Caenorhabditis elegans: one gene and its partner. The protein of the gene in region 2 interacts with the protein of the main gene of each other region in a pairwise test. Each region holds a gene or a part of one and is shown on either strand. Other genes may lie near its edges. The genes, in order: slfl-5 and F53G12.4.

Evidence for each region.
Region 1: the proteins of F53G12.4 (region 2) and slfl-5 interact in a two-hybrid assay, tested with the Caenorhabditis elegans proteins (2 studies listed by BioGRID).

Annotation. Positions count from the first base shown.
Region 1 is NC_003283.11:12,240,927-12,246,890, forward strand, and holds slfl-5 (Tr-type G domain-containing protein), read right to left. Parts: upstream 4,119-5,964; 5' UTR 4,105-4,118; coding exon of another isoform or gene 4,075-4,104; 5' UTR 4,023-4,074; coding exon 3,961-4,022; intron 3,783-3,960; coding exon 3,383-3,782; intron 3,335-3,382; coding exon 3,104-3,334; intron 2,611-3,103; coding exon 1,855-2,610; intron 1,790-1,854; coding exon 1,675-1,789; intron 1,607-1,674; coding exon 1,404-1,606; 3' UTR 1,045-1,403; downstream 1-1,044. Other genes in the region: ttr-22 (Transthyretin-like family protein), read left to right, coding at 504-672, 721-986; rad-50 (Zinc-hook domain-containing protein), read left to right, coding at 4,720-4,730, 5,659-5,707, 5,763-5,873, 5,921-5,964.
Region 2 is NC_003279.8:132,563-137,791, reverse strand, and holds F53G12.4 (LisH domain-containing protein), read right to left. Parts: upstream 3,456-5,229; 5' UTR 3,439-3,455; coding exon 3,364-3,438; intron 3,287-3,363; coding exon 3,211-3,286; intron 2,244-3,210; coding exon 1,894-2,243; intron 1,558-1,893; coding exon 1,080-1,557; intron 584-1,079; coding exon 510-583; downstream 1-509. Other genes in the region: mex-3 (K Homology domain-containing protein), read right to left, coding at 4,210-4,378, 5,099-5,180.

The DNA of each region.
Region 1 (5,964 bases), on a different chromosome or scaffold from region 2:
ACTGAATATTTATTTTTTAATCACTAGCATGTTTCACACTTTTTGTAATTTTCAGTATGTTCTTAAAGTTAGTTTAAACTTTATCACATTAAGCATTCTTGTATGTTCGAAACCCTACAAATCAATTACAAATTAATTTAATGTAATCCAAGTTAAAAGTTTTTTGGTCAACCTTCAAAACTATGAAATGTGAAAACTGAGTCATTTCTACCGTTGTGAGCATCATATAGTGATTTTAAAAGTTTTTACTATTGGCGTTTCACCAAATTTAAAATGGACTTTTAGTCGTTGAACAAAGTTGATATTTACAATAGAATTATCTAAAAAGAACCAATTATATCCTTTGTCGTTGATCTATGATTTCATTTTAAGTGACAATTATTGAGTCAGTGAGCAAAGTAACAATTTGTAACGACTATATTTACTCGAACTGTGTTTCTATTTACTTCTTGTAGACAGTATATAAATGTCTTACAAGAATCACTCTGAATTTTGTGTTCACAATGTTTTCAATTACATATATTGCTCTTTCTGTTTTCTTTTTGATTCATTGCTCCGATGCTTTACTCAATGTTATCGGAAGCACTCAAAGTGTTACTGTAACGGGAAAATTGGTTTGTGAAGGACAGCCAGCCAGTGGAGTTCTCGTGAAGATGTATGACGATGGAACGAGTAAGTTATTATTTGGAAGAACTGTTTTGAAACAATTGATTTTTTCAGTATATGACTCGAAATTAGGTTCGACGACCACCTCATCTGATGGAACATTTTCTGTTTCTGGAACATATACAGATATTTTAACATTGGATCCAAAAGTGAATATATATCATAGTTGTAATTACAATGGACCATGTTCAAAGAAAGTGACAATCAATATTCCTGATTATGCAGTTGCATCTGGAAGTAGCTCGACTGATAATTATGATATTGGAACTTTGAACTTAGCTAATCAGTTCAGTGGAGAAACCACTGATTGTATCCATTGAATGTGTACTTCCTAATAAATTTGTTTCTAGAATAATTGAAATGGGACATCTAGGAAGAGTGAATTCAGTTCATTTTTAAAATTGTAACTAAAAAAGCAGTAGCGCAAAAAATGCTACAAAAAATGAATAGAATGAGTGGGGGCACCTGGAAGAAGAGAAAAAAGAGGATCTAGAGTATTTTTGGAGACAAAAAGGTTCACTTAGTGAACAAATATTCAGAATTGTACAATTTCAACTATGTACAACTATTATCAACCCGGAGCAAAATGTAAACACACGGGTACCTAGGAGGAGAGGGCAAAGAGAGAGAGAGTGAAAAAAGACTACAAAAAAGAGGTCTACACAAAATATACAAGATAATTGGGAGGGGGGGGGGGGGGTGGCAGTAAAATTTAGAGATTTTCAGACTAACAATTATCATTGGGTGCACGGAAATACTTTTAATACTTCTCCCATTCCTTTGGTTTTTCCTTGACGAAGAATAATTGGTGATCCTTCACGAATGACTTCTGGTTGATAGGCGAAACACATTTTAACTACAGCCCATTTTCCTGGACGGATGCAGTCTGCATCGTCGATGTGAGTAATAATGGCAGTTGTACAGACACTTCCGATAAACACTGAAAAAGTTCATAAATTATTTCAGAAAAAATCAAAACTGAAAGTTGAAATGAGAAAAAGTACTCACCTGTGGCTTGAAATCCTTCGCATATGTATTTCGTCGAGTGACACAGCAGTAAAAGATTGGCAGTGAATTCGTAACAAACTGGTGGTTGATGATCGATTTCAGCAAGAACCATTCCCTTTAATGAAAATAATCAATATGTTTCACATTTCGAATGATTTTTCTGTGGAAAAAAATACTTACCCTTCTTAGACTGACACCGTCTGGAAGATTCAAGGATATCGATGCAGCTTCACCAGGATTAACACATCCTACGGCTTGCCGGCTTCTTCGAATCGACCCGACAGTAATTTTTTCAAAAGTTCCATCTTTCATGGGTCCAACAAGAACATCTGCTCCTTCATGCAATTGTCCTTCAGATAGCATTCCTCCAACTACTTGTCCAACATGAGGCACATTATATAGTTCCTCGATTGTGAAAAAGGCTGGGAGTCCAACTAGTTGAATACGTGACTCTGCAGTTCCAGCTGTAGAAAGGCAATTGAGAAGTGTTCTGAGACAACGAAAACCTTCTCCGCTCACTGAACTAACAGCAAGAACTGGTACGATACTACCAACGCAGAGTTCTTGTGCCGCCTTCACTGCGTCTCTTTTAGTTTTCACTCTTTTCTCGCGAGCTGTCATCCCTGCTTTCGCAACAAGATTGGAAACATCTTTGATGATTTTCTTAAGTCCTTGTCGATCGACTAGATCCATTTTTGTGATCAGTACAAACATTGGAATGTTTAAAGCGGCAATTAATCCAAGATGTTCACGAGTGGCCCACGTGATTCCTCGATCGGCGGCTACAACAAGGCAAGCGAAATGAGGAGTGTATCCGGTTAATCCATGAATTGTCGTTTTCTGATATTTTGCGTCTCCAGCCAGATCGATAAGTGTTACAAGTTTTGAAGACTTCTCCACCATTTCTTCGAGACTATTTTGTGCATAATTGACTAGCTGAAAAAAGTAAAAATTAGATATTTATAAATAAATTTAAAAAAATCGAATTTAAGTTTTTCAAATAAAATTTTTCTAAATTCATTGTTTTTGTATTCAAAAGTGGAGTAGAATCATTTTGAAATTTTGTTTTGAATGAAAAAAAAATTGACCGTAATAATCGATTTTAATTGATTTTAAAAGTTATAAAATCTTTCTAACTTTTTAAATTTTTATTTTTGATAATTGGGCGGGAATTCAAAAACAGATTTTTATTTTTTTATTTTTGCAAAATTGAAAAAATTATAAAAATTTTATGATTTTTTGAAACAATTATATTCGGTATTACCGTCCATTTTTTTAATTATTTAAATCAAAAACCCTAATAAATAGGATCCAACTTTAAAATTTTCAATAAAGAAATTATCTACAATTTAATCAGTTTACTGTTTTTTTTTTTAAATATTTTCAAGCATATTTTAACCCATTCTGAATGTTTCGAAAAATTTCTAACCTTTCCACGATTATCGAAGCCAATGACATCATTACAGACAGAACTGGTTTTTCCTGTTCGCACTTCGTGTGGAAATCTGAATATTCCAATTCTTGCTTTTCCGTTTCCGTCGTCCAGACAACCCTGTGTTAACACTCCACACAGTGTTGATTTTCCGACATCGCATCCTCCAACGACAGCAAGACGAACTTCGATGAATTGCTGGCTTTCAGGAACCTTTCGGACAAGTACCTAGAAAAATAATTTCATTTAGATAAAATATGACTCAATAATAATTACCTCGACTACAGTTCTCCGTGAATTTGATCCCTTAACAGTAACGTCTTTCTCGGTCAAAATAACCATACTCGCCCCAAGAGCTTGGGCCATCGTTCTCAAGGTCCGAAGTGAATCATTCAGTTCCTCGTCTGTTAATCCAGACATTATTCCACCATCCTCAACGCCAATTTCATAAATAGCCTCTCCTTGACCCTCACGAAGACGCCATTTCATTTGAGTGATCAGATGTTGTATACGAGATGTCGTTGGATTTACTAATTTTGCTTTGTACTCAATATTTCCAAGCTCCGTTTCAGGTGGCAATCGGTTTTCGGTGTCGGAGTCGGAACATTCATCGTTAGTTGGCAGTGAAGAGCTGAGAAGTGTTGGTCCATTTTTAGAGTCCGATATTGATTGTCGTCTGTAAAAAATAATATAATATACTACCTTAAATGATTTGGCGACATTAAATAAATTGAATTGATTTTATATCAATGTTTTAGAATTGATTTATTTTTTATAAGGAATTTAAATAAATGAATTTTGATTTTAGAAATAAAATTTTCAAATGTTAACCACACAATATTTATCGTACTCACCTAGTTTTGTAAAGTGGCTGATGATTCTGCTCATCGCAGAAATGTGAAATCATAAAATCCATAGTGAGATTGAGTTGTTTATTATTTTATGAAATGAGATAATCAGTTGGATAACTACTGCTCACGCCGTATTCGATCTATCATTCGATTCTCCGATTCTGGAACATCAAATTTTAATCATAGGGAGAGAGGTTCGGGTACTTGAGAAAAAAATGTCGTGTTTCGAGAGGTTTTGAAAAGTCAGTTGTTAACTGGTTCGGTCAACATGTAGAGATTGTAGAGAAATATGAGAACTTAGAGAATTGACGTATGAAGAGAAAAAAGTGGGAAAGGGGAGCCGCTGTTGTTTTCGAAAGAAGAAAATAAGACAGAAAAAATCGGAGAGGAACATAACAACAAGTTAAGTTGACTTTTGAACTGGAAATTTGTCAATATTGAAAAAAGGAACAGTGAGAAATATCGATTTCCACGTCGCTCGATTCTATGAAAAGAAATTATGCACACACAAGCTTCACAGTGAGCATGCTGAATGATTGAGCAAATACATGAGAGAATAAGAGAGGAATGAGATGAAAAGAAGCGTTCAAATCAAAAGAAACCAGACAAAATGGCGATTTTTTACGGGAATATGAACCTACTGATTGGCAGTGGACAGCTGGAAGAATAAGAAGATACTGAAGGAAGGTTGAAGTTGAAGCTTGGAAGACAGATGATGAGAGAGAGGAAAACCTGTTTCTTTTTGATTACGATCGGACGGAAATGAGAAGGAAGTAAGTGTTTTCACACGTAGGTGGGCATTGAGATCTTTGAAGGTGCATTCGACAGGTTAATAATCATTCTAAATACCAGGTGACAATGGAGGATACTTTTAAACAGTAAATATATTGGAATAAAACATAAAAGTTAGTCTTACTCAGAATTTCTAAAATTTCAGCCTTCTGGAACGAAAGGTAAAATCATAATAATAATACAAGTGGGGCTGTTAGTAGCCCTAAATACAAGTAAAATGACCGAACACAGCCGTTAAAGAATGTTGCAGAAAATTGCGAAATATTTCCTTACTCTTAAGAACAACATTCGATGTGACGCAATATGATGCATTTCCTTAGACAAAAACGTTCAGTTCAAAATAAACAACAATAAAACCGTTTGTACGATTTCTAGAATACGAGTTTATCAGTTGTTCGGAAAATATCTTATCAATCGTTTGACTGATGTTTTTTAACCATGTGAGAATTTGAAAAAAAATTTCATGATTGCCAAAAATTAAAATAAACAGGAAGCTTTTACCGAGTTTTCGTGATTTTCAGAATGAAGAAATTAATATGAAGCTCAAAATCAAAAGCAGAGGGAAAAGAAAAAATCGAAATCTTCTTTCGGTTAAACAACACGCGCTTGCGGAACTTCGGAGCATCGTATTTTGTTTTTGCGCTCTATTTTTGAATCGGAAACTGTTTTTTTGTCAGTTTTCGAAATTGTTTTTTTTCTGTTTTTTTACTTCATGCAAGAGTTTAACTTTACGCAAAAATTAATTAAAAATACGCAGAAGGCCCACTTTACACAGGAATTAATTGAAAATACTCAGGAATTTCACTTTACTTAGTCCTTTTTCCAGAGTTTCCAACGGAATCAATATATTAATTTAATTTCGCAACATTTTTCTTTGAATAAACCTATTTGCAAATGAGAATGTTTCAGATATTTGCTTATCGAAGCCTGGGAATTGCTTATGGCGAAATTTTTACGCGTAAGTCTGCAAATTTATTTTTACTCTGAAAATACTAAATTTATGAAAATTTCAGCTACACATCAGAGGAATTCGAAGTGTCGGTGATGAGGACCACGATGTTCACAAAATTGATTTCCTCTCTCCGTGCACACTAATCAGTGGACCAAATGGAACAGGAAAAACGGTAAGATCAATATGATTAGAGCATCATAACTTTTTTTTAAATTTCAGACCACCATCGAGGCACTCAACTTTGTAACCACCGGACAAATGCC
Region 2 (5,229 bases):
GGTTGTGGGCACTACCGCTCCCCAAGGGGACTAGGTTTCCGTGTGGAAGAGAAAATGTTTATACTCTTCCATGTTATTTGCCAATAGAGCGGATTTGCATCTGCGAGGATGGATGAGTTGTTATGCCACGCAGCTAATCCCTATGGCCTTGGACTTTTTCTTGGTAACTGAAAAGTTGCTTTCCTAGCAATCGCACTAGCATCAATGAAAGAGTTTTTTTCGTTTTCAAAGTCATCAGGACTTACCCAGAAATTTACCAGTAAGAACTAAAATAAAAATAACCAAATATAAATTGAGAAAACTCATCTCTCACAGAAAATCGGCGCCAAACTTTGAAAAATTACACTCAAATATGGTTTTGTGTACATTTTGCTCCTCTTTCTCAGTGGCTCCGCCCGCTCGACACACATTTGTTCGTAGTTTGCGCGAACTTTTTTCAAGTTGAATTGTTGAAATTCCTAGGTGAGAATTTATTTATTTCAAAAGAAATTTTTTAAAAGAAGAAAATTTTAAAAAGAATAATCGGATCCTCCGGAAGATAGTAGACCGGTGTCGAAATCTTCAAGCTCGTCGATTGATTCTCCTGAAAATTTTTTATTATTGATTTTTCAGGAAATTCATCGATTTGTATGTAGAGGCATGTTTTTTTTTTACTTTTGCTCCGCAAGCGGAATATGCGCCTTTAAAATTATAAGCTACAGGAACAATGATCGATTTTTAGGAGAGTTGCATAATCACGTGCTCGCTGGCTGTCTCAAAATTCACGTTTTCTCGCGGACGAGAAAACTTGAGAAATATGAGAAAATGGCCTAGAAAATCCTGGAAGAGGAGAATTCCTCGTCCACAGCCAAAATAGCGTGTGAAAGAAGAGATGCAGACGGCAAAACGGTTATTCTTTGCGTTTTTCACGTTCAGAGAAAAAAGTAGTATCTGCGTCTCTCACGCCCAATGGATAGCGAGAGTTGGCGCAAACGTGAATTCTCAATGAGGCGCGTTTGCTTCAAGCTTATGCAAAAGGACAGCCAGTGACCACGTGCATAATTTTTCGAAATTTTTGCATGGTGCAAGTTCAAAGTTACCTTCTGACAAGACCAACGGCTCCACTAGCTCCTGTTCCTTTGGTTTCGCTTCCTCCTTCTTTTTCTCCATAGGCAGTATAGACTTTTTCTTCGCCACGCCATCCTGCTCGAAATCCTCTAAATCATAATCCACGTTATCCGAGCCGAAAATGGCGTCGATTTCCCGACTTTTCGCGCTTTTTGTCAGCGGTGGTCGTCCCATGGAGAGCGGCGGAAGATGTGCGTTGAAAATCGCCGGAAGTGGGTCAGAAGTGCTTGCCACGTCATCAGTGACTAACGCGGATTTTGACGGACCCCATGCGTTGGGAATTTGGCTTAGTTCGATCATTTTCTCCGCGCCAGCTGCTGTGGGTTTCCCCAAGATATCCGAAAAAGTCAACTTCTCCTCGGAAGATGACGACGCGGATGACGTGGAAGAGTCGGAGGAGGACGATGAATCGTCGGAATCGTCTTCTGCCTGGTTGGATAGACGTGCGAGCTGAAAAATCGATCGATTTTTTTGCCAAGAAAAGTAGGAAAGTAGGACTCTCATGTCGGCGCCGCAAACGCCGCTCTCACGCCGCGATCTGAAATCTTTATAGCGATGCGCAAAATCCAAAAAGTGTCGGACCCGGAGTGAAGTTTGCACCACATAGTGTCATACGCTGGCACTAAATTTTACGCGCGCGCGCAAATACTTTTTTAATCATCATTTGAGTGATTTAGGGCATTGAAATTTTTCTTTTGAATAAAAGTCGCGAAACATCGATTTTAAAAAATCGCCTTGTCGACTTTTGTTAAATATTTCAAAAAAAAATTATTTAACGCAACTCACTCGTTCCCTCTCCATTTCCATCCGTTTCCGCATCGTTTTTCGAAATTCCTCATCACTAAGCGGTGTAATTTTCAACGGTGCTCGCTGTTTATCGACCATATTAATTTTTGCAAACGGGCGGCCGGCGCCAATCGATTTTATCGATTTTCGTTCAAAATCGTCACCGGTGCCATCGCGAATATCGATTTTCAGCTGACTTCGCAATAGATTATCGATTTTTTCCCCATTTTCCACGTGTTTTTCTGCACTCTCCATGTAGTTTCCAGACATTTCTGTTTTCAAGACTTGAGATGATATTGGATATCCATTCTGCTCGAGCCAATCGGCAATCATGCTATGGGTGACACGTTCTGTAAATTTTCAGAGTTAAGGCCACGCCCAATTATAGGATTTTCTTCAATGTGGGCGCACGATGTTTTTTGTTTAAATAGAAACTATGTTATCGACAAAAAATTGCACGCGCTCAAATTATAAAAAGTGGGCGTGGTAATACCATGTGTCGCGTTTTTTTTCAAGATTTCATGAGAATTACATGAAGATATATATATATATATAATCGAAAAAATACGATCGCACAAATTTCTCATAATATATTTTTTATCTACCTTGTTGACTAGGCTCCTCCCCGTCCTTCGACAAGACAGCTACAACAAAATAACAACGGCAACAAGATTGGGGGCGGAGTAAAGTTCAACAGGTAGATCAAAAATAAATTATGAGAAATTTGTCAGATCGTACTTTCTCGATAATAATTTTCAATGTTTTTTTCAGAAAATGAAATAACAACGCCTATTTTGCAGTTTTGCAAAAAGTGGCCGTGGCCAAAATACCCGTAGAACGCGGGGTTGCACTGAATCCTTGATTTTCTGACATTTTACCTATTACGGAAACACAAAATTCTGAAAATGCATATTGCACAATATATTTGACGCGCAAAATATCTTGTAACGAAAACTACAGTAATTCTTTAAATGACTACTGTAGCTCTTGTGTCGATTTACGGACTCGATTTTTGAAATTTATTTATTTTCGAATATTTTCGATATTACACTTTCATTCGTTTCTTCGTGTCTTTATTTTCTCATTTTTATCTAATTTTAAAATTGAGCCCGTAAATCGACACAAGCTCTACAGTAGTCATTTAAAGAATTACTGTAGTTTTTGCTACGAGATATTTTGTATTTTGAATTGTGTGTTCCTGAAAAAATTTTGAAGTTTTTAAGTCGAAAATTGTGATTTTTTTGGCGAAAAGAGCATTTTTCATAAAAGAAAAATCCTTTTTTTTTCAGAAAATTTCAAATTTTCTAAAAATTTCACCTCTATACGTCAAATCCCTACTCGTTTTCTTTGGCGTTTCCCCCAACGTGGCACTTATCGTCGCGCGGATATATGTCTGAAACAATGGGACACCTCAAAATATAATAAATATTTTTGAATTATTAATATATTCAACTATTGTGCTATTATTACCCGCAATGGTGCATATTGTGGCAATTCGGACAATTGATCGGCCAATTGACGCAGGATAGGATTTGTTGAGTGCATTTAATAATAGTAAAGGTATAGTATAGGGCGTGCGCGAGTGAGCCAAAAGCTCGGGGAGTTGCTATGGATACCAGAATATGGAGAGACGACACGAATCGCTTCATTCACATACACCAAAATCTGTGGAATATATCAGAACTTTTACAAAATACGATAAATTTGATGGGTGAGGTGGGGATCACTCGAGTTTTTAATTATAAAGAGGTGCTATAAATATAAAAGGCCTCTCAATTCTCCGTTAGTTGTGCGTAGTAGAGAGGGGGAAAATTGGGAGTTAAACACTAGGTGAGAGATAGAGAGAAAAGAGGAAATCCTTATAATATATATAATTTTTGTTTAAAACATGAGTTGGTCGTCCTATCATAATGCAAAAAAGAATAATAGAGAAAGTTACAGATTTTCCAAAAAAACCTACTGTAGGAATATATATTGGGGGACTGCATGGGTTACATATATAAATATATATAATATAGATATTTCAAAAATATGAATAACAAATAATAATAGTTATATATAAATATATGTGATTTTTTTCGTTTTTTTTGTCTAGGATTTTGGGGTGAGAATGATGGTGATTTTTGTGTGTTCTAGTAATGTAGTAAAGAGGTGAGAAAATGGGAATGGAGGGACTCGTACACCGATGAACAAAGTAGAAAATGGGAAAAAGAGTCTTTTAAAGAATGGAAAGATGAATTTGGAACTCGTTGAGGATGGGTTTTTGCTAGATGAGAGTCTACACGATAGTAATGGAATGATGAATGGATCCACAGCTTATCCATTGATCGGCACGAGAGTATGATCGTTGTGATCGCAGGTCGATGAAGTCGGCGAGGCAGATGCTGAAGCCAACGATCCTGGGCTCAGATTCATGTTTCCGCCAGACCAGATTGTGCTGAGAAGACCGAAGCCGGCGGATGTTCCTTTGAGGGAGGACATGAGCCTGCAAAAAATTTGATTTTTCATAAATTTACAATTGAAATTTTCTAGTTTTTAAAGAGAATATCACACTTTTGTGGAAAAAATTTACGACTTGATATTTCGAGATATGTCGAAATTAAAAAATATGTATGATAAATTGTAAATTTCAGTAATTTTCCTTTAAATTTCAAGTTTTTCTCATAAAATAAATAAATTTAACTTTACCTCTTAAAATTGGAATTTCACCTTTTTCTCTCAAAAACGAGGTTTTGAAAAAATCAATTTTTTGCATGTGAAAAAAAACATATTTTTTTGAAGTTCAAAAGAAAATTACAATTTTTCTTTTATTGTTCAAAAAAAATTTTCTTTTTATAGATTTCTGACGGACAAAATCCAATTTTATTTAAAAATTTTTGAATTTCAAATGAAAATTATAATTTTTATAGAGAAAACTACGATTTTACTCTTTTTTATTTTCAAAAACGGATAGGTTCAAGATTTCGGAAAAATAATTTTTTAATGTGAAATTTTTTAAACATTCTGAGTTTTAGAAACGTTATTTTTTATTTAAAAAATTGATAAGAAGCCGTCAGGTTCCGAGTGGAAAACACGAAAACTTGTTTTTTTTTTAAATTTTTTAGCGGAAAATCAAATTTTCTTTCAAAAATTTAGAACTTTGAAGGAAAATTGCAATTTTTAGTTTTATTTCAAAAATTTATAAAATTCCTTCAAAAATATATACCCATTGGTTGGGGATTCCTCGCGTTTCTCCAATCCCATCGACGACCATGCGGACAGGGCATCGTACTTGCGGCTGAGAATTTCTGAAAAATCCTTATTTGTCATTTAAAATTCTTATTAAAATTCGCAAAA